3 linked regions of the Canis lupus familiaris genome follow. The protein of the gene in region 2 purifies or fractionates together with the protein of the main gene of each other region. This does not show direct contact. Links are inferred from orthologs where the notes say so. Each region holds a gene or a part of one and is shown on either strand. Other genes may lie near its edges.

What was found.
Region 1: the proteins of CDC25A (region 2) and CUL1 purify together in Homo sapiens (affinity purification with western blotting; 6 studies listed by BioGRID, with this or other methods). This does not show direct contact. The link is inferred for Canis lupus familiaris from reciprocal best matches to the Homo sapiens genes CDC25A and CUL1.
Region 3: the proteins of CDC25A (region 2) and G2/mitotic-specific cyclin-B1-like purify together in Homo sapiens (affinity purification with mass spectrometry; 3 studies listed by BioGRID, with this or other methods). This does not show direct contact. The link is inferred for Canis lupus familiaris from reciprocal best matches to the Homo sapiens genes CDC25A and CCNB1.

The regions. Positions count from the first base shown.
Region 1 is NC_049237.1:1,738,098-1,745,669, reverse strand, and holds the start of CUL1 (cullin-1), read left to right. Parts: upstream 1-2,214; 5' UTR 2,215-2,481; intron 2,482-2,609; exon of another isoform or gene 2,610-2,734; intron 2,735-2,752; exon of another isoform or gene 2,753-2,992; intron 2,993-4,020; exon of another isoform or gene 4,021-4,085; intron 4,086-7,572. UniProt on the Homo sapiens protein: Core component of multiple cullin-RING-based SCF (SKP1-CUL1-F-box protein) E3 ubiquitin-protein ligase complexes, which mediate the ubiquitination of proteins involved in cell cycle progression, signal transduction and transcription.
Region 2 is NC_049241.1:41,246,295-41,253,834, reverse strand, and holds part of CDC25A (M-phase inducer phosphatase 1), read right to left. Parts: intron 4,012-7,540; coding exon 3,913-4,011; intron 2,790-3,912; coding exon 2,727-2,789; intron 2,632-2,726; coding exon 2,533-2,631; intron 1,201-2,532; coding exon 1,070-1,200; intron 1-1,069. UniProt on the Homo sapiens protein: Tyrosine protein phosphatase which functions as a dosage-dependent inducer of mitotic progression. Directly dephosphorylates CDK1 and stimulates its kinase activity. Also dephosphorylates CDK2 in complex with cyclin-E, in vitro.
Region 3 is NC_049250.1:29,511,358-29,518,365, forward strand, and holds G2/mitotic-specific cyclin-B1-like, read right to left. Parts: upstream 3,346-7,008; 5' UTR 3,251-3,345; coding exon 1,967-3,250; 3' UTR 1,945-1,966; downstream 1-1,944. UniProt on the Homo sapiens protein: Essential for the control of the cell cycle at the G2/M (mitosis) transition.

The sequences.
Region 1 (7,572 bases), on a different chromosome or scaffold from region 2:
ATTAGGGAAAGTAAGCTAGGACAAGATTGTGGCCAATCTTAAATGCCAGGTCAGAGCTTGCTTGGACTGATCCCTATGAACAGTGGCGTGTGTGTGTGGGGAGGGGGGGGGGACATTAAAAAGTTTGAAAGGACAAAGATATAGTGATGAAGGTATCAGCTAGGAGAGAATCCTCCGTAGTCAGTCACTGCACAGGCTGGAAGGACAGACAAGAGATCAGAACCAGGAAAATCATTTAGAAGGTTAAAGGAACAATATAGGTGTGGGAATATATCTTGGTGAACTAGTGGATGTGTATAGACCTGGGAATTACTGGATCAGGTTATGCTGCTGACCAAGCTGAGTGATTTGAAGCAAATTGCCTACTATCTCTCTGAGTCCTAGGATTCTTCACTGGAAGATGGGTATGATCATGATAATGTCTGACCTCACAGACTGAGCCAAAATAGAGGATTCCTCTAGGATGTGGTGACCAGCTCTGGGGTACAAGGTAAATGAGCCAGAATTTTGAGTTTTCAGGCCCCCAGGATTTAGAAAATGGAAGATACTTTATGGGAGACAAGGAAAGAAAGGGAACTAATACTTAGTGTTTGGGAATTATGCTGGGATTTTAGAGGAATTACTCTTTCCAACAACCTTAAGAGGTAGGGCTTTTTACCGCCATTCTAACAGCTGACTTAACTAGAGGAAAACATAGTTTGAGTCTGGATATAAACCAGGGTCTGCCTAAATCTAAAACTTCATCATATCATAAGGTTATATTGTAAAAAGTTATATTTTATTTCATTGGTTTGGGCCTAATATTCTAGTCTGAGACTATTTTGAGTTTTGATTCTGACATCTACCCAGGTCATTCATCCCTCCAAACTTCGTGTCATCTGAAAGGAGGACATCAATTTTGCCAAGATGGGGGTAGAGAAGATGGGGAAAGGATTTTTTGGAGTGAAAAGAGAGTAGATGGCCTTGATCTGTTAGGTCTAAGGCAAGGTCACACGCCCAGAGTAGGAGGGGTGTAGATGCAGCCTGGTTGTGAAGGGGCAATAAAAGCCAATGGAATAGTCTAACTGCTAAGAATGATAGTGCGGATGGGTAGAGAGTAAAGGACAGAAGGAAGTCAACAACCTGGACCAAGGCAGGGAGAAGCGGAGAGGGTGGTATGGGTGGATGAAATACTTCTCTCCAAGAAAAGCAGAGAATGGGATACACAGTAAAGGGAGAGGTGGCCCACTCAGCTGGTACATTAGTTGTGTGAGGTGCCAGGCAAGGAGGCCGTATGGAATGAGAATATTGAAGAACACAGGTTATGGGGGATGAGATGGGTTATTGTCTGAGGAAAGCTCAGGTTCCAGTAAAAAGGGAAAAGGGAAGAAATGAAAGCTGTAAACGGGAAGCCATATATGTGTCGTGGAAAGCACTGTCCACGGGGACAAGCCTTGCATTTTTACTTCCAGTCTTACCATGTGCCCACGAAACATGGCTAAATGGATGTAAGTGTTCTTTTGACTAGGTTATTTATAAGGATAGTAGATAAACCAAGAATTTTGACACCCTTGCACAGGCCGAGGTTACACACTTTGGGGAAGTGCAGTACTTCCAAAGGCACCTCGGTGTTCCCAGAGACCACATCTCGATAGAAGGAACCACATGGCACCGGCGGGATGGTTCTTCTAAGGAAAACCCCTATTACTGAGGATAAACTGTGGGCTCTGGGGGCAGCTTTGTGCTGTAGGCCTAGGGCTTGCACCCCAAGGTACTCGTAGCAGAATCCCTGTTCTGTTTTAGTTTGAAGCAAAACAGGAAGTTACATCCACCACATCTTTTGCCCAGATAGGCCAATTGGGAATCCTTCCTCGCGTGTTCGCGGGGTGGGCCGGCTCCCTGGTCCGTGGCGGGGGTCGTCGCAGGCGAGCGTGCTTGCCCCGTCCTCTGTCCCCCTCGGAAGGCGCCCGGCGGCTGGCTGTGCTGCCGAAATTAGTGTTTTAGAGTCGTTCCGAGGCCCCGAGGCCCCGAGCGCCCGTTGATGTCACCTGGCTGCCGTTCGCGGCTCCAGGGGACACGTGAAGACGTTTTCTCTGAGGTCGCCGCCGACCACGCACACCTGGGGAGCCTCCCGCGCGTCCTGATGGGTGTCTCCTCGTCGCGGGCCCAAACGGAGTTGGCTGAAGCGTTCAGCGCAGGGCAGCGTCCTCGCCGCGTTTCTCTCGGGGGGAGGCTCCCTCGGGAGCGGGGCGCGCCCCGCTGGGCCCAGGCTTTCAGGTACGGGCTGCAGGGCCGCAGGTGTCCCGGGGCTCGGAGCCCCCGCCCCCGGAGGCAGGAGGCGCAAGGCCCCCCTCGAGGGTGTTTCGGGGCCGCTCCTCCAGACGCGGGTGCCCTCCCCGCCCCCCGTGACCTAGAAAGGTGACCCCTCCTCGTGAGGTCCGAAGTGGCGGGAAGCCGGGTCTCGGGAGGCGCCCGGAGAGGATCGGGGCCGCGGGCGTCCAGGTAGGGAGCCGGCCGGTCGCGGGGGCGCGGGGGCGCGGGGGCGCGGGGGGCGCGGGGGGGCGCCCCCGGGGGCAGGGCAGGGCAGGGCAGGGCAGGGCAGGGCCGCGCCGCGGGGAGGCTTCCGGGCCCCTCCCGCGCCGCGGGCTTGTGAGGAGATGGCGGCGGCGGTTTCCCGGCTCCCCCGCCCCGGACGCCGATGGCGGCGCGTTCCGGCCCTCCCCCCGCAGCCTCTCCCCCGCGGGAGCCGGAGCCGGTGAGGCCGGGAGGGCGGGGAGCGGCGGAGGGGAGGCGAGAGGGCGGAGGTTGCGCGGCGCGGGCGGCGGCGGCGGCGGCGGCGGCGGCGGGCAGGGGGAGGCGGGGGAGGCGGGCGCCGTGTCGCGCGCAGCTCCAGGCGGGGCGGCCCCGCGCTGAGGGACGCGGCCAGACGTCGGCGGGACGGGGAGGCGACCGGGGCCGGCCCGGCGGCCAGGCGGAGGCGTCGCCGAGCCCTCTAGGCCGCAGGGAGATGCGGGTGAGTGGCGGCCGGGCGGCCTGGCGGCGCGGGGCCGGGGCCGGGGCCGGGGCCGGGGCCGGGGCCGGGGCCGGGGCGGGTGGGGCGGGCGGCGGCGGCGGCGGCGGCGCAGGCCCGGGCCGGAGCCGCGGTGTCGCAGTGACGGGGCCGCGGCGGCCGAGCACAGGCGCCCGGCGAGGCCTGAGGCGCCGCGGGCCGGCATGGCGGCCGGGCCGGCGGACTCGTGGGCGGAGGACGCCGGGGCGCGAGGGGAGCGAGCGGGGCCCGGGCCTGAGTCACCCCGGCCGGCTGCGGCCTGCGCGGGCCGCGGGCTCGGTGCGGCCAGGCCTGGACTACGCACTGGGGCGCGGGGTGGGGATTTAAAAAAAAAAAAAAAAAGCCCGATTCATCGCGTCTGAGCGTCAGAGGCGCCGGCCTTGCGGCGCCGGCCTCTCCCCCGGCGGCGACCGGGCCCGGCCTGTCGTGCGGCGGCCCCTCGGGGCGCCCGGGCTCGCCCCCATCCCCCCCCCCCGGGCCGCTAGTCCCCCGCGCGGCGCTTCCCCCTCCGACTCGCGCTCAAGAAAGTGCAGGGCTCGCGCGCCGGGGAGCCGGGCAGCCGGGCAGCCGGGGAGCCGGGCTCTGCTCTCGGGGTCCCCCCCGCATTGTTGCGACGGGGCAGGTCGCGATTATTGGGCAACAGTCGCCGCTCGGCCCGGGGAGGCGCGCGGGTGCGGGCGCGGCGGCCGGCGGGACGGAGCCCCCGGTGACCCTCGGCGCCCCCCGGTGCCCCCCCCCCCCCGGCGCCCGCGAGTCGGGCCGGGCCTCGGCGCGCCCCCGGCCCTGCGCCCGGCGGGAGCGCGCGCTGACCCCGCAGGTAACCCGGCGCGGGCGGGGTCGCCCCCCCCCACCTGTGCCGCGCCGGGGTCGGTGGCCCACATGGTTAAAGGGAGAGGGAGGCGCTTGAGGAACATTCCTGGAGACTTGAGCCCCAAAGTTGAGGGTTTTCTCTCTCTCTCTCTCTCTCTCTCTCTCTCTTTTGCCAAAAACAGGATTCTCTGTTCCGATTGGATCACGAGGCGGTTGCTCTTTAGTTCGTAGTTTGGGGTTAGCGGTGGTAAGTGTGCAAATACGGAATTGCAGTCGGCGTCCTCAAGTCCTGTATTTGCTGCTGCGTGTAATTGCCCCTTCCCTGGAGTGTGGCGTTTGAGACAAAGTGAAGAGTGGAGTAAGTGGCCACGCTGTTGTTGGAAACGCTCTTAGCGGAGTGACAGAAGGGCGACTAAATTCGCTGTTACCTCGAGCCCTGAGTGTGTGGGACCTAACCCTTTCCCAAAACGCCCCGCCGCAGCGTGTGCAGTTCTAAGTTTAACACCTCCTCCCCCTTGTCTACCTGATTCTCTGAAACGCTGGAGAGCTTATGGCTTTGTGTAGCGAGAGCGGAAATGTTGAAAAGCAAAACCAGCCGTTTTGTGGAAAAAGGAATTTTGGGTTTTCTTTGTTTAAAAAAGGGTGCTTGGATATTAGGATTTTTTTTTTTTTTTTTTTAAGTGGAAGTGCTATTTGTTGCTTTCCCCGTTAAGTCAAATAGCACCGCATTTCCAGTTCCCAAGCGCGCAAGCTTTAAACCCCACCGTGCCCATTTTTGGAGGTTTCGGGAGACTGCGCATCAAGTCTGAGAGAATTACTCTCTGAAAATATTAGACGTTTTTTTCCTCGTCGGCACCGTCTTTTAAAAACGATTTTGCCGAAAAGAAAAAGGAGACACTGTAGACAGGCTTAGGCTTTTAATTTTGAATACCCTCCCTCTCTCAGCCACATGCTCAGGTCCTTGCAGCCGTGTCTCTCAGTCCTAATGTCTGGGAGGCCACATCAAGAGGCCAGAGGGACACAGGAATGGCTGTACTGGTTCTGCAGTCTGCTTCCATGTCACAGCCCCTAAGACTCCTTTGCCTCTTGCTGAATATTGTCTGCTAGAGGTGATTAACTTAGTGTTGTCATTGCAGCCTTTATGCATTTCAGGCTATGAATTCCTTGAAGGTAGGGGATATGCCTTCCTTTTGCCTCCCCAAAGTAGCATGGAACTTGGTATCCCAGTTGTCTTTTGAATGAGTAAATCTGGAATGATTCTGATACCCAGTGTTTGACCACTTCTGATGTGGGCTGCAGAAAACCCTGCTTATGCTGGTAAGAATGAAAGTTTTATTATCATTGGGGTCATCGTTGGATCCAATATAGTGCCCCAACAGAAAAATACTCAGGTTTTCTTCAGCAGTGGGAATCTAGGAAAGTGTTAACAAGTGGTGAAACTTCAATTAGCTTTTTTCCTTGGGAACTAGTTTTAAGGTGCAGCTAGCTAGTTATTTATCTATCTATCTATCTATCTATCTATCTATCTATCTATCTATCTATCTATCTAATCTGTCCAGCAGAGGATTGAAGTATTTGCCCCCAGGTTAAATATTGTAGTCTTGCTTTTGAAATGAAATCCCTTGGTAGCTGAGGCTCTTCCCTGTTGTAGAGATAGGGCACGCCCAGCCCCGGCGGTGCCGGTGCTACTGGAGTCTGATGTGACCTCTTTTGCAAGAGAGGCCGTTCTTGGATCCTTGTGGGCCTTTGTTCAGAAATTTACCTCCAGTATACCCAGCAGGCTTAGTGTACCTTTCTTTGAACTTGGAAAATTAAAATGAAGTACTTTATTTTATTTTTAAGATTTTTATTTTTTTCACCCAATGTGAGGCTCAAACCCACAACCCCAAAATCAGGAGTGGAGTGCTTTTCTGACTGAGCTAGCGAGGCACCCCAAAATGAGCACTTTAAATTGACTTGCTACTTGCCGTTCAAATTAAAAATGAGGGCCCCCCAAATTTAGGAATGTGTGTGTATTTTTGTTCTTTGCTGTTTCAGCCTTACATGGCTTCCAAAGCCACAGGTCTTCTGTCCTCAGCAGTTGAGTCAGTCTGGAATATGATGTCTTTGGGGGACCATAGGCTTGTTTCGAATTGTCTTTTTTTTTTTTTAATTTTTTATTTATGAATGAGAGACAGCACAGCCGAGACACAGGCAGAGGGAGAAGCAGGCTCCATGCAGGGAGCCCAACGTGAGACTCAATCCTGGGTCTCCAGGATCAGGCCCTGGGCTGAAGGCGGCGCTGAGCCACCCAGGCTGCCCTCGAATTGTCTTTTAGTAGATGTGCCTAGAAAAAAGTTTACCATTTTTAAGGGCCAGTTCTAGGCTCACCTTGCTCTTTTTTCTGTTACCTAGTATTTTCTCAGTAAGGTGTATTTGTTTGCTTTTCAAAACTGAGAAGTAAACATTAAATGAAGAATACATTATATTTGAGTAAAACCCTTAACTCCATTCTATTACTGAGGACTTTTCAGCTCCCTGTTTATAACATGTACATTTGATAATGCGTGCTGTAAACAGAATTATGATACTTAATGATGTTAAAACATTTATTCATACAGATATTTTCCAGCCATGTGTCTGTTGTTTATTCGTTCATTTATTTTTACTTAGGACATTTTGCATAGAACATTTTGCTTGGTAGAGAAGACCTGAGGTCTAATTCAAGCTTAATTTTGCTGGGCCTATATTTCCTCATTTGTAAAAAAAAAAAAAAAAATAAGATGGTTTTTAATTGATACTATTTTAAGATTTCTTTAGGCCTTCTCAAAGTGTGTGGATTCTGTGGGAATGTCATCGCTTTTAACAGCATTTGGAAAACTGTCTTCTTTCTAAAGCATAATCTTACTCATGTTTGAAAAGCAGACTTGTGAAGCCTAAGTTTGAGATTCATTTAAATTTTTTCCCTTGGGAAACGTGGATCGAGTAAGTGGAATCCCCTCCAGGGCTTTCACTTCTTGTAGGGAGTGTTAAGTACCGTCCTTGGTTCCACCTTACAACGTATAGGTGGAGAAACTGAGGCCGCTGGTGGTTAAGATCAGGCCTAGTGGGTGGTGAAGCCTGAAGCAGGGCAGGGGGACTTCAGAGCTCCCCCTTACAACCAGATGCTTCCTCAGTGTTTTATATGAAAGGGGAAGGGGAGAAGAGATCGGAATGAAAATGCTTTAAGGATTGATAGTCAATGACTATGACGGAGCCCACTATGCAGAACTCGGTTGATCACCAAGCGTGAGCTTATTCTTGGTCTTTCAGTAACTGGTAGACGCTGAAGGAGAGTAATTGGGCACTGATGGGATAGAAATGAAAGTTCTGGAACCTCAGACCATCATTAAATTGGCACAAATTTATAAAACCCATTTTAACACCGTTCAGGTCTAATAAATAAATACAATTTATTAATTTAATTTATTTGAGGGAGAGAGCATGAGCGGGAGGGGCAGAAGGAGAGGGAGAGTCTTAGCCGACTCCACACTGAGTGCAGAGCCCAGTGCAGGGCTCCATCTCATGACCCTGAGATCATGATCTGGGTCGAGACTAAGCTTAACCCTAACCCACTGTGCCACCAAGGTGCCCCACAAGTTGCAATTTTTAAAAAGGCCTGTGTGAGAAAATATTTTGGAAAACAGGTTGTATGAAATCCATGCAACCATTTAAAATCTGTGTGCTTAAGGTGTGTATGCGCTGGTGAAAATATT
Region 2 (7,540 bases):
TGATCACAGTTTTGTGCTTAATGTAGGACAAGTCCTTGTCCTCAGGAGGTTGGTGGGGAGACAAGTTCCTGTTGTAGTTATGTGTGTAATTCTATGTGTGCTAATGCAGCAAAACAGAAGCTGCTGATGAAGTCAGGTGAAGCACATGTGGGCAAATGGCCTTTTTCTTTTCTTAAAGAAAAAAAAGATTATATTTGAGGGACGCCTGGGTAGCTCAGTGGTTGAGCATTTGCCTTCAGCTCAGGACGTGATCCCAGAGTCCCCAGATTGAGTCCCACATCGGGCTTCCTGCAGGGAGCCTGCTTCTCTCTCTGCCTCTCTGTCTCTCATAAATAAAAAAAATAAATAAAATAAAATAAAATTAAATAAATAAATTAAATTAAAAAAAAAAAAGATTATGTTTGAGCAAGAGCATGTGCGAGCAGGGAGGAGGGGCAGCCGAGGGAGGGAAATAATCTCAGGCAGACTCCCCGCTGAGCATGGAGCCCACATAGGGTTCCATCTCACAATTTTAGCATAGTCTGACACTTAATAGACTGAGCCACCCAGGCGCCCCCGTGTGGCCTGACTTTAGAACTGGTTCAAAATGAAAAGTGCACAAGGATCCAGGCCTAGGGGCCCATGAAAAGTCTACCTTGTCCTACCCCAATCAAGGCTGCATTCCACCCTGCCTCAGCCCTCACCCCCGTCTCCAGCTGGCCCTCTGTACTCCCAGCACCTACCATACTAGCCAGAGACAGGGCTGGGCTGGAGAAGGCCTAAAGCCCTTGGCCACAGAAACTGATAGGTCAAGCCTATAAAAAGCCATACTCAAGGAAGCTGTTCATCAAATTGACTGCTTAATAGATAAGGATTTGGGCACACATCTGCTACACATGAATTTGAAATTTCACAAAAGTGAACATTTACAAGTCATGTGCGCAGGCTAAGGCATGGAAATGATTCAGGATGTGGGAGAGGGTGCTTGCTCGGTATACTGAAGTACGCCCTGAGGGTGAGCCATCCATTGCCACATCCCACCAGTCAACGCAGGCCTGAGCCGCAGAGCCCAGTTTCATGCAGTACTCACATGCGAGGGCCTCGCTCAGAAGAGAACTCGCAGTGGAACACGACAATGACACGCTTGCCATCGGTAGGTACAATGGGCTTCTTTAGTAAGAAGTCCTCAACCTCCTCTTCCATGTGCAAGTTCACTGCACCCTGTGAAGGCACCAGAGACTCTTGGAACCTGGGCATAACATACTTGCCAATGATTCTTCTGTGAGAGTCACCTATAATTGGGCACCTCATATTCTGTTATGACTATGGCAGACAGGAGTGGTATTTATGAATTCGGAACTTTTGAAAGCTACTAAGACACTGGCAAATGCTAATGTTGTATTTAATGTACCCTTTTATTGTATTTCAACACTATTTTATTGGTTAAAAGATGAAGTTGGCACAACCAATTACTTTTTTCCTGGGAAAGCATGACCCAACACCTGCCCTCCACCCTGCAGCTTAATTCAACTACAGACTTAGAGGCACCACTAAGTATGGCATAGATTAGGACATGTCACCAGACTGGCTTCTGGTCAGAAGCCTTGGGGTGCCCAGGCCTGGCTTAGAAATCAGTGGGCACCACCTAGAAATGCCCTTGATGGTGATGGTGTGAAGCAAAGGACAGGCAGCATTTGCTGTACAATGTGGTGAAGAGCAGTGTAGGGCAAGGGAACGTTCTTCAGTGCACTAGGAATCAAATTGTCTTTTAAAAAATCTCATAACCAGGGCAGCCCTGGTGGCTCAGTGGTTTAGCGCCACCTTCAGCCCAAGGCGTGATCCTGGAAACCCGGGATGGAGTCCCTTGTTGGGCTTCCTGCATGGAGCCTGCTTCTCCCTCTGCCTGTGTTTGTGTCTCTGCCTCTCTCCCTCCCTCTGTGTGTGTGTCTCTCATGAATAAATAAAATCTTTAAAAAAAAAAAAAAGAATATTATGTGTGAAATTAATATTAATATTAAAAAATTAAAATCTCATAACCAGCACATGAGCTATTAAGTAGCCAGGTGTTACCACCTCTTCCCTTTATTTTACGTTTTAATTTTATTTTATTTAAAGATTTTATTTATTTATTCGTGAGAGACACAGACAGAGTCAGAGACACAGGCAGAGAAAGAAGCAGGCTGCATGCAAGGAATCTGATCTGGGACACAATCCCGGTACTCCAGGATCACACCCTGGGCCGAAGGCAGATGCCCAAATGCTGAGCCACCCAGGTGTCCCTTATTTTTATTTTTTTAAAATAGGCTTCAATCCTGAGATCAAGACCTGAACTGAGATCAAGAGTGGGACGCTTAACCATCTAAGTCACCCAGGCACCCCGACCATCCCACACCCTTTTAAAAATCACAAATTCTGGGACGCCTGGCTCAGCATTTGGGTATCTGCCTTTGGCTCAGGGCGTGATCCCCTGGTCCTGGGATCGAGTCCCACATTGGGCTCCCTGCATGGATAAATAAGTAAAATCTTAAAAATAATAAATAAAAGAACCCATACCTTGATGTGGCCTCCCTCATATTCATACGGGTACCGGCAATCAATGATAACAAATTCTTTAATGAGGTTGGCAAACTTGCCGTTTAAAACAGATGCCATCTGTGGAGAGAAAACCCAGGAGAATCAACTTTGGTTGTCAGGAACAACTAGAACCAAATACCTCATGGGTGACAGGATCCAAAAAGATGACTTACAATTTCTGGAGAGATGTATTTTAAATCCTGATGCTTCCCAGCAACTGTATGAAAGAGATAACCCTTAAAGAAAAAAAAATTTTTTTTAAGCAAATCTCAAGGCTGATAAATGTAACAATTATAAGCACACCAGCAATTACTCATTAAGGCAACTGGCTGAATCAAGAGCTCACCCATCCCCATGGCCATTGGCAAGGTCATTATGACAAATATAACCAACAGTTTCAATTCAAGTGGAAGGTTCCACCAATGGGGACACAGTCTTTGCTCCTTCTTCCATTCAGATGGAGTTGTTGCCTATTTTCAACCCCCTTATGTGTCCCTATTTCTTCAAAACTCACCTGGCTGAAATATGAAATATGGCCCAGACCCATACCTTCCACAATCTTCTAGGTGAGACAACTCCCTTTTATTTCTTCCAGGCTGCTCACACTGCCCTCAATAAACTTCCATCTACTGTGTAGTCGACAGCATGACAGGTCTTACTGACCACAGGATAAGTTGTTTGAGAGAAGGAACTGGGACTTAATTTTGGAATCTTTGCTTAACATGTAATAGTGTTTCAACAAATGTTAGCTAAACCAATGATGCTCTGGTAGCCTTCACATCTATCCTATGTGTCTAAACAAGCTGCTACTGATACATTCCCTGTCCCACCCTCATATTTCACCACAGCCCAAAGACAGCTAACTCTTCCACTCAGCAAATCCATACATATCAGGCCATCAGCAGATCTCCCTCTGCACTCCCCTGAGGGCCTTCTCCTTCAAAGGCTATACTTCTCTGGACAACAGAGAAATTAAATTCATCAACCTTGGATATTCCAAGATAACCTTTGGATATACAATTGTGTAGTAAGGCTACAGGTTTATTCTTATTTCTTTGTACTTTACTGCATTACTATTTTTATAATCAGAGCCTGGCCTTTGTGTTGGAGTCAAGGTGGCTGGTGGGTAGCTTCCTACTTCCTCTGATTAGTACCAGTAAGGTCTATAGTCCCACAGAGACCAAGATACGTCTGATCATGAGTCTGTTTCCTTATCTTCAAAAACTTTAAATTGTGTCCCCTTAAGGGCATTGCCAAGAGCCACCGAGTGAGGGAGAAAGGCAGGGGAGCCTTCTAGGAAGCACCTAAAGCCCAAATTACCTAGTCAGAGCAGCTCTCCTTGCATCTACTTAGAATTACCTTGGAGAAGTCTCCTATAAGATCCCTTGGGTCATTATCCAAAATGTTCTCAATGGTCCCTTTCGGGGAAGATATCAGGGATAAAGACTGATGTAGAATCTGTAACAAATCAGAGGTAGAAAATGAGGCCAGGGTTTTGAATAGGACTTTTGAAAACATTCACCTAGAACATGTCACCAGGAGGAGAGTGACAGGGCAGCCCGGGTGGCTCAGTGGTTTAGCGCCTGTTTTCAGCCCAGCAGGGTCTGATCCTGGAGACCCGGGATCGAGTCCCGTATCAGGCTTCCTGCAAGGAGCCTGCTTCTCCCTCTGCCTGTGTCTCTGCCTCTCTCTGTGTCTCTCATGAATAAATAAAATCTTTAAAAAAAAAAGAGAGTGACATGTAAATGTCTATATTTAGCAAATAAAACATTTTCTTTATTTGATTGAAAAAGAGAATATGGGTCACTGGCTAGGTCTACTATTATTTTAGCATCTAACTGAAATGTTCTGAAACTAAGTTTTCCTTTTCTACCTTTTTTTAAAAGGGAAATTAAGGGGCACCTGAGTTGGTTCAGTCAATTGGGAATCTGATTCTGGGGTCCTGAGATCGAGCCCTGCGTTGGCTTTCCTGCTCAGTGGGGAGCTTCTTCTTCCTCTCCCTCGCAAATGTATGTTTTCACTCACTCTGCTCTCTCTCGCAAATAAATATTTTTTTTTAAAAAGAGGGGGAATTAAAATTAAGGCTGAGTCTAAAATAAGTATTTTTTTGCTCTATCCACTGAGGTACAATGAGCATTCCTAAAGGATACCATGGTCTCCAAATACTATTTTCCACTAAAAGAAACCAGGGCTTGGCACGGGTTTCTCAGCAGTTAAGTGCCTGCCTTTGGCTCAGGGAGTGATCCTGGAGTTCTGGGATCGAGTCCCACATGGGGCTCCCCATAGGGAACCTGCTTCTCCCTCTGTCTGTGTCTCTGCCTCTGTCTTGAATATATAAATGAAATCTAAAAAAGAAAAAAAAAAAAGAAAAAAGAAACTAGGCTTTGAGGGTGTCTGGCTGGCTCAGTTGGTAGAGCATGCAACTTTTGGTCTCGTTTTATTTATTTTTTTTGAAAGATTTTATTTATTCATGAGAGACACTCCCACACAGAGAGAAGCAGAGACGCAAGCAGAGGGAGAAGCAGGCTTCATGCAGGGAGCCTGATGCGGGACTTGTGATGTGGGACTTGATCCCAAGACTCCAGGATCACACCCTGAGCCACCCGGGTATCCTTCGATCTCCACATTGCGTGTAGATGACTTAAAAAATAAAATCTTAAAAAAAAAAAAAAAGAAAGAAAAAAGAAAAAGAAAGAAAGGAACAAATAAACCAGGGTTTTTGAAGTGACTGACTCCAGGTTGGGATAAGAAATGTATAATATAAACCTGGAATGCCTTATGATAGTAGCAAGGAAGCTATTAGACTAGTAGAGTGATGTCAAAAGGGTTAGTCATGGGGAGGTAAGGATTTCTTTTAAGTAGGACACAAAAAGCACTAAACATAAAATAAGACCGATTAATTGAAATACATTTAACAAGTCCAGAAATTCTGCTCATCAAAAGAACAGTATTAAGAGACAAGGCAAGCCAGAGTGAGAAGATAAACAATCTTTAAAAGAATCCTCTCTGGGGCAGCCCCGGTGGCGCAGCGGTTTAGCGCGGCCTGCAGCCCAGGGTGTGATCCTGGAGACTTGGGATCGAGTCCCAGGTTGGGCTCCTTGCATGGAGCCTGCTTCTCCCTCTGCCTGTGTCTCTGCCTCTCTCTCTCTCTCTCTCTCTGTATGTCTCTCATGAATAAATAAAGAAAATCTTTAAAAAAATAATTAAATAAAAGAATCCTCTCTGAATGTATACAGTACTTCCACAAATAAGAGATAACCCAATAGAAAAATGGGCACATTCACTTGGACTAGCAATACAGAGAGGGAAAATCAGGACCAAGAAAAATAACTATCAGGGAAATAAAAACTAAAACCGCAGACACTGTACACTCACCAGAATGGACACATAAAATAGATGATTCTCACAAAAGTAATGCTGAACAAGAGAATCCAGACATAAAAGAAATACATACAGTAGGACTTCAAGTTTATACGATTTGAATACAGGCAAAGCTCAGCTATAGCAACAGAGTTCAGATCAGTGTCGTTGAGGGAGAGAGCACAGGAGGGGCTCTGGGCTGCTGCTAATGTTCTTTCTTGGTCATGGTTGGCATTTACGGAGATATATTTATTTTAAAGAAAGGGAGCATGCATTTTGCCTTTCCCACAAGTGACCAAAGAGTTTGATGCACGGAAGTTTCTCTTTGAGGTACATTCTGCCAATAAATGAAGAATGACAGAACTTTCTAAAAAAAATTATTAAAAAAAAAAAAAAAAAAGAATGACAGAACTACAGGATCACTTTTTTGAAACCTTGGTTAAATGAAATCTAGGCAATCATCATCAATGACTTCCCAGCAATGTGTCTCCTGATCAAAGTAAACAAAATCACCCATGAGATATTCATGCCAAAGAAACTGAATCTCAATCTCATCAAGTCTTCCTAGTGTTTAGAGGTTTATGGGCAATAAAAAGGAGAGAAGACAATATTAGAAGATCCCATAGGACTGTGGGAACTTCTACAAGGCAACTGGCCTGAGTTCTTCAATCACTAAATTTCAAGAAGGAAACAAAAAGATGGGAGCACAGGAGCCCAAATAATAAGAGACCTAGTGACCAATCGCAATGCACAGATGTTATTTCAACCCAAATTTGAAATGCATTTAGGAGACCATTAAAAATGATACTGGGGCACCTGGATGGCTTAGTCAGTTAAGTGTCTGACTTGATTTCAGCTCAAGTCATGATCTCAGAGCTGTGAGATAAAACTGTGTCAGGCCTACTTAAGATTCTCTCTGTCCCTCCCACTGACTCTCCTTCCATAAATGAATGAATGAATGAATATATAAATGGGGGAGGGGGTAAATATACTAAATGTACATAGGTTTTTGCCCTAGCAACCCCATTTATTCCCCCCAAAATAAGCACGAAAGGACAGTGAATATTGTAATTGTTTATAGCATTTGAAAACTAGAAACAGGGAGGGACGCCTGGGTGGCTCAGCAGTTGAACGTCTGCCTTTGGCTCAGGGTGTGGTCCCGGGATTGAGTCCCACATTAGGCTTCCTGCATGAAGCCTACTTCTTCCTCTGCCTGTGTCTCTGCCTCTCTCTCTTGCTCTCTCATGAATAAATAAATAAAATCTTAAGAAAAAAAAAAAAAGAAAACTAGGAACAATCTAAATTTTAATCAACAGGATCATAACAAGGATAACAAGATCATAACAACAGGAACATAACAAGGATCCTCATGCAGCTATTTAAAAATTACAAAAGTCTGTTCCCCCAAGCCAAAGCACTGGGAAAAAGGCAGCCTATCAAGACAGAAAAGTTTTAGGCAATACCACCACTGTAGCAAAACACCAAGGGAAAAAGGATGGCCCTACAACACGCCTGGTCAGCAAGTGGGGAGCTTAGACTTCCAACCCTCGCCCAGCTATAATTAAGTGCTTAGTCTCCATTCCACTGGGATGGTGTCAGCAGAGGCCTAGGGCAGACCTTGAACTCT
Region 3 (7,008 bases), on a different chromosome or scaffold from region 2:
CTCATGTGCATGTTGGCCATGTCTATGTCTTCCTCTGTGAGATTTCTCTTCATGTCTTTTGCCCATTTCATGATTGGATTGTTTGTTTCTTTGGTGTTGAGTTTAATAAGTTCTTTATAGATCTTGGAAACTAGCCCTTTATCTGATACGTCATTTGCAAATATCTTCTCCCATTCTGTAGGTTGTCTTTGAGTTTTGTTGACTGTATCCTTTGCTGTGCAAAAGCTTCTTATCTTGATGAAGTCCCAATAGTTCATTTTTGCTTTTGTTTCTTTTGCCTTCATGGATGTATCTTGCAAGAAGTTACTGTGACCGAGTTCAAAAAGGGTGTTGCCTGTGTTCTCCTCTAGGATTTTGATGGATTCTTGTCTCACATTTAGATCTTTCATCCATTTTGAGTTTATCTTTGTGTATGGTGTAAGAGAATGGTCTGGTTTCATTCTTTTGCACGTGGCTGTCCAATTTTCCCAGCACCATATATTGAAGGTACTGTCCTTTTTACAGTGGATAGTCTTTCCTGCTTTGTCGAATATTAGTTGCCCATAAAGTTCAGGGTCCACTTCTGGATTCTCTATTCTGTTCCATTGATCTATGTGTCTGTTTTCATGCCAGTACCACACTGTCTTGATGATCACAGCTTTGTAGTACAACCTGAAATCCAGCATTGTGATGCTCCCGGCTCTGTTTTTCTTTTTCAATACTCCCCTGGCTATTTGGGGTCTTTTTGATTCCACACAAATCTCAAGATGATTTGTTCCAACTCTCTGAAGAAAGTCCATGGTATTTTGATAGGGACTGCACTGAACGTGTAAATTGCCCTGGGTAGCATAGACATTTTCATAATATTAATTCTTCTAATCCATGAGCATAGAATATTTTTCCATCTCTTTGTGTCTTCCTCAATTTCTTTCAGAAGTGTTCTGTAGTTTTTAGAGTATAGATCCTTTACCTCTTTGGTTAGGTTTATTCCTAGGTATCTTATGCTTTGGGGTGCAATTGTAAATGGGGTCGACTCCTTAATTTCTCTTTTTTCAGTCTCATTGTTAGTACCACATTTTACTACAGCTACTCGGGAGCTGGAGTGTCCTCTATATACATTATGGTAACAGTCTCTTTCTCTTTCACACACAGACACAGACATAAACTCACATACATCATCATGGAATGAATGTTTAGTTGTATATGCATTGTATCATGCTTAGATTTTTTTCCTTCTTTTCCCCATACTGGCTCTATGTCAAATATTCACTTTAAAAGAAATGTAAGAGATATTATGTTCTCTATGTTGATTTTTGTAGAGTTGAGTACATGATGCAGTTCATTTAAAACCTGGGAAGAGCCACCTTGTGGCAAAATTTAGCACTTCACCATTATTTTTTTAAAGAAAAGTTGTAAGTGGCATTAAATTGTGTAGCAAAATAAAAGGTACTGATATTGTACGCAAATTCTAGAATATGGTTTCTGAGATATATAGTTTGACTTTAACATTAGCCAATATTATCAAAAGGTATTGAGAATTTGAAAAGCTTAGATTAAAATATGCAAAAGATATTGCATACACTAATGACTGTATATTTTAAATGTTCATTTCAAGGTTTTAGTTGTCTCCTAGTACACGCAGTTTCGGTTACACTAATTTGTACCTTAAAAATGAAAACTTAGGGGTTCCAGGCTGGCTTAGTTGATAGAACATCCGACTTGTGATCTTGGAGCCGTAAGTTCAGGTCCTATGTTGGATATGGAGATTACTTAAACAACAAATTAATTAATTAAAAAAAATTTTTTTAAATTAAAAAAATGAAAACTTAGAAAATATATCTAATTAGTTTTTTCTTTTTTTTTTAAGAAGTTAAAAAGGACCACAAGCTTTATTAAAAGTAAGTAAAGGTAACATATAATATATACAGATGGCACATGGTGCCAATTTTATTTGCAGATATTACAATACTCCAATGCATGTTTCAAGTTACACCTTTGCCACAGCCTTGGCTAAATCTTGAACTAGTGCAGAATTTAGCTGTGCCAGAGTGCTGATCTTAGCATGCTTAGAGGCGGCATACTTGTTCTTGATAGTCATGTGCTTTGTAAGCCCACGATTCACCATGACTATATTCTTAGCCAGGTGTTGCATAACATTTAGAAGGGATTCTTCAGTGTAGGACAGAAAATGCTGTAGAGTTGGTGTCCATTCACCATTATCGAGAATTTTCAGCGCTAAGCAAAAAGCTCCTGCTGCAATCTGAGAAGGAGGAAAGTGTACCATATCGCAGTCCAACATAGATAGCTCCATCAGGTATTTGGCCAAAGTATGTTGCTCAACATCAACCTCTCCAATCTTAGACACTCTCCGAAGGAAATGCAGGGGTAGAGGGCAGCCCAGACCAAAATTTAAGGATCTTAGAATCTTCATTTCCATCTGTCTGATTTGGTGTTTAGTGTAAGTATTGTCAGTCACAAAGGCAAAGTCACCAATTTCTGGAGGGTACATTTCCTCATATTTGCTTGCAATAAACATGGCAGTGACACCAACCAGCTGCAGCATCTTCTTGGGCACACAGTTATTCTGCATGAACCGATCAATAATGGAAACAGTCATGTACATGGTCTCCTGCAGTAACCTGAATTTTTTTTGAACCTGTACTAGCCAGTCAATTAGGATGGCTCTCATGTTTCCAGTGACTTCACGACCCAGTAGGTATTTTGGTTTGACTGCTTGTTCTTCCTCAAGTTGTCTCAGATAAGCATAAATATCTTTCACGTATTCACTACAAAGGTTTGGATCAGCTCCATCTTCTGCATCTACATCATTCACTGCAAGAATTACATCAGAGAAAGCCTGACACAGATATTCTTCTGCAGGAGCACATCCAGATGTTTCCATCGGGCTTGGAGAGGGAGTATCAACCAAAATAGGCTCGGGTGAAAGTTTTTCTTCTTTAACCGGCTCAGGTTCCAGCTCTGGTTCTGGCACAGGGACAGGGACAGGCTCAGGTGCCTTCTCCAGAGGCTTTGGTATTTTTTTAGCAATGACTTTTCCAGGAACTGCAGTTTTTGCTTCCTTTTTCAGAGGCAGTTTGGCCTGTGGTTGTTCACTGACTTTGTTACCAATGTCTCCCAGAGCAGTTCTTGGCCTCAGGCCGGGCTTGGAGGCTGCAGCAGAGGCCAGAGGCACCTGCTTTGCCCCTGCCATACCGATCTTCGCCTTGTTTTCAACATTCACTTTTGTGTTCCTGGTGACCCGGAGCGCCATGGCCGCGTCTTCACGGGGGGAGAGGAGAGCGCGGGAGCCGCTGACGAGCCGGGAGCCGGGAGCCGGGAGCCGGGAGCCGGGAGCCGGGAGCCGAGGCCCGCGGGTCAACAGCCGTTCCTCCGCAGCACCTCTAATTAGTTTTTTCTTGATGTGTAATTATAATATAGCTTATATTTCATTGTATATTTAAATATATTTGTATAATATTGGTTGTAATCATGTATTAATAATTGAGAATACTCAGTTTTCTTTTTGGTTTAATTGATATATTGACATCTTTGCAGTGTTTCCTAAATTTCCTTTAACTTGGCAATTCACCAAATTCTTCTTTCAGTTAATTCCCACATTTTCATGTCTGTCTTTCTTTCTTTCTTTCTTTCTTTCTTTCTTTCTTTCTTTCTTTCTTTCTTTCTTCTTTCACGTCTTTCATAAAACCTTCTCCATTTAATTGAATGTGGTAGTAAATTTGCAACTCCTAATAAATACTCAGTGTATACTTGGGTATGAAGAGCCACACCATTGTAGGTCTCTCCTCTCTTTTTTCCCTTCTTTTTTTTTTTTTTAAATTAAAGATTTTATTTATTTTCTCATGAGAGACACAGAGAGAGAAGCAGAGACATAGGCAGAGGGAGAAGCAGGCTCAATGTGGGGAATCTGATGTGGGACTCCATCCCAGGACCCTGGGATCATGCCCTGAGCCCAAGGCAGATGCTCAACCACTGAGCCACCTAGGTACCCCTCTCTTTTCCCTTCTTCATTGGTACTTTGAAAACTTCTTGAAAGCTAAGAGGTTAATTCAGTATCTTACTGTCTGCCCTTGCATTTTCCTGCCACTTCTCCTTTTCTTCATTCCTGGCCTCTGTATTTCCTCTGACATTGGGGCCTATCTGGTAGTGGTGGAGTCAAGCGAGGTGGTGATGGTGTAAGTATTGGCATGCAGATGCAGCAGGGAGATCTGGAATCTAAATGTATACTATAGGAGGAGGAATGCAGTGAGCTGGAATGAAGAGGAGAGAAAGGAAATACACACACTCAATACCGAAATCCTTCTCTTTGGCTTCTGCTGCCCTTCTCATTTCCAAGTATATTTTCTCCTCTCAAATTTCCATGGGTGTATGACTTTTGTTTGAGCTTTGTTTGTGTGTATTGGTCTTTTTGGGTTACCAGTTATTCAGTTTCAAATCTGGAATATTTGAGGCAAAAAGAAAGCCTAGGAAACTCACCACCCTTTCATTCCTTGAGTCTCTGTGTTTCTACTGATATGCCCTCTCTCCACATTTTAGAGTCTTCAGATGTTTGTTGTATACATAGTGTCCAGGGTTTTAAATTGTACATAAGGGGAAAAATAAGGAAAAATAGATCAACTTTTTTTTTCTCGGAAGCAAAATTCTTAAGTAACTTTGTCTTCTTTAAGTTTACTTTTTGTAAATCACTTTTCTTACTATGTAGAGAGCAGATTCACAAGGGAAGAAAGTAGTGAAGCAAGAGAAGCTGGGAGACCATTTAAAAATTGTTTCAACCAATTAAATGGTGTTCATTTGTGTAATGGTAGTGGCACTAGAAATGGAGCAAAGTGTATGTTTCTGTTTATATAATGATATTCTTGGTTAACTATTTAGTAGCTTTTTTTCATCCAACATATATTTATTATGCACATATCAGGTGCTGGATGTAGGCATTGGGTGGAGAGTGGTAAGCAACATGAGTATCATCTCTGACTTTTATGGACTTTATTGTCTAATTTAGAAAGATATGTAATAAACCAGTAAACAAAAAATTACTAAGCAAGTAAACCAGAAAAACTAAATTATAATTACAAATTGTGACATTGCTGTGAATGAAATACATAGTGCTATAATTGAGCATGACATAAGACCTACCTAGCATGGTCAGATAAGACCTTTGAGAGGATGGTATTTGATGTGAGACCTAAACATTGACAGAGAACTAGTTATGTGAAAATCTGGTATTTAGGCGGAAGGACAAAGGAGGGGAATTAGCTTATATTAGAGGGTGTAAACAGCATTTTGGTTATGAGATAAAGGGTGACATGGACACTTGGGTTTTTGGTGAAGATTTGAGTAAGCAGGAATATATGACAAGTGGCGTTAGTCCTGCTAGGCTGTCAGGGAGGAGGTACAGTCTACTCTTGCACTGTGAATACTGAATACTTTAGTAAACAATAAGGATTTTCAGTCCAGCTGCCTTTTTGAGGCAGCATGAGTTATGGTAGTTGATAGGGGTGTTGCTCATTGAGGACCACTCAGGGAGATTTGGTTCTGATGAGCAACATGACTCCCTCAGGGAACAGTGAAAAGCATGCCTGGTTTTTAAAAATTTCCCTGGACCTGGTGTTCATCAGCATTATACTTTAATTCTCATTTAGCAAGTATTTATGAAGTTCATGGGCCCAGTGACCTGTCACTGTAACTTCCATACCCATATGGCAATACTGTAATTACTCAGCTTTGTTACTGATGATAAGGCAAACTAGATATACTTGAAATATTGTGTTGGTTGATGTGTGTGCTGGTGATGAAGATAGCAATGAGTAAAAATAATGTGAAAACTAGAGAATATCAATATAAATTGAAAGTGCATTAATACGTAACGTATTTGTTTTAAATTTTTGCTCCTTTCACTAAAACATATTTTTATGCAAGCAAAATGTTAAAGACTTCTTTGGAGAAGAAAGAACTCAAAAAAAAAAAAAAAAGAACTTTTATGTGTTTTTCTATCTTTAAGGGTAGAGACCATGTAGAATATGTCATTGAATTATTAGTACCAGCACAGCATCTGGCATGTACAAGGTGCTAAGTGAAGGTCCAATGAATGAATGAATGAATGAATGGATCGAAAAATGAAATGTTTAAATTGGTGCTCTGAATACCAACCATCACAATTTCTAATCACAGAAGTGCTCATTTCAAATGGTGAATTTGCATGTGTATTATACAAGTACATATTGCCCAGAATGACAACAGAAAAAATTAGAAACCGAGTTCATCAGCCAGGAGTTTTTTTTTACCTTGCCTCACTCTTGGCTATTCTAACCATTCCTTTCATCCTGTTAGTTCCTCCCTTCAGAGATAAAATTTACTGGAAGGGATTGGGGATATACGAATTGCTAGCTAAAAGCCACCTAGCTCCTCATAAACTAATGGCTGGTGTAGTTCTTAAATATTTTTGAGGGTGCAGTTTCAGAATGGGAACTTTTTCTACCAGAGTTGAAAAGAGGAGGCAAGATAATGTGTAATGTAGTGGAGGGGGACAGTCTTTGAGAGAGACTAACATTTTAATAGTAATTTTTATTTGTTTAGTATCTCCATGTGTCTGGCTCTACACTAAATTCTTTATATTGTCTCCTTTAATACTCAAAATAACTCTCCAGATACTGTCTTATTCTGTTTTTCCAGATGAAGAAATTGAGTGTTCCAGTTACTATATCTTTGCTACACATTATGTGAAAAATAAACATTTATTATGCTTATGGATTTGTGGATCAGGAATTCAGATGGAGATGACTTGTCTCTACTTTGCAATATCTGAGGTCTCAGATAGAGCACTTGAAGGCTGGATCTGTGATCACCTGAAGTCTCATCCACTCACAGGTCCAGTGGTTGATGCTGGTGGATGCAAAGGTCGGCTATGTTATTTTCACATGGACTAATTTATAGTTCCTGAGAGCATGGTGGATGAATTTTAAGGTAAGTGCTGAGCGGGGGGAGAGAGAGATCCTTCTTATGACTAGCTTGGAA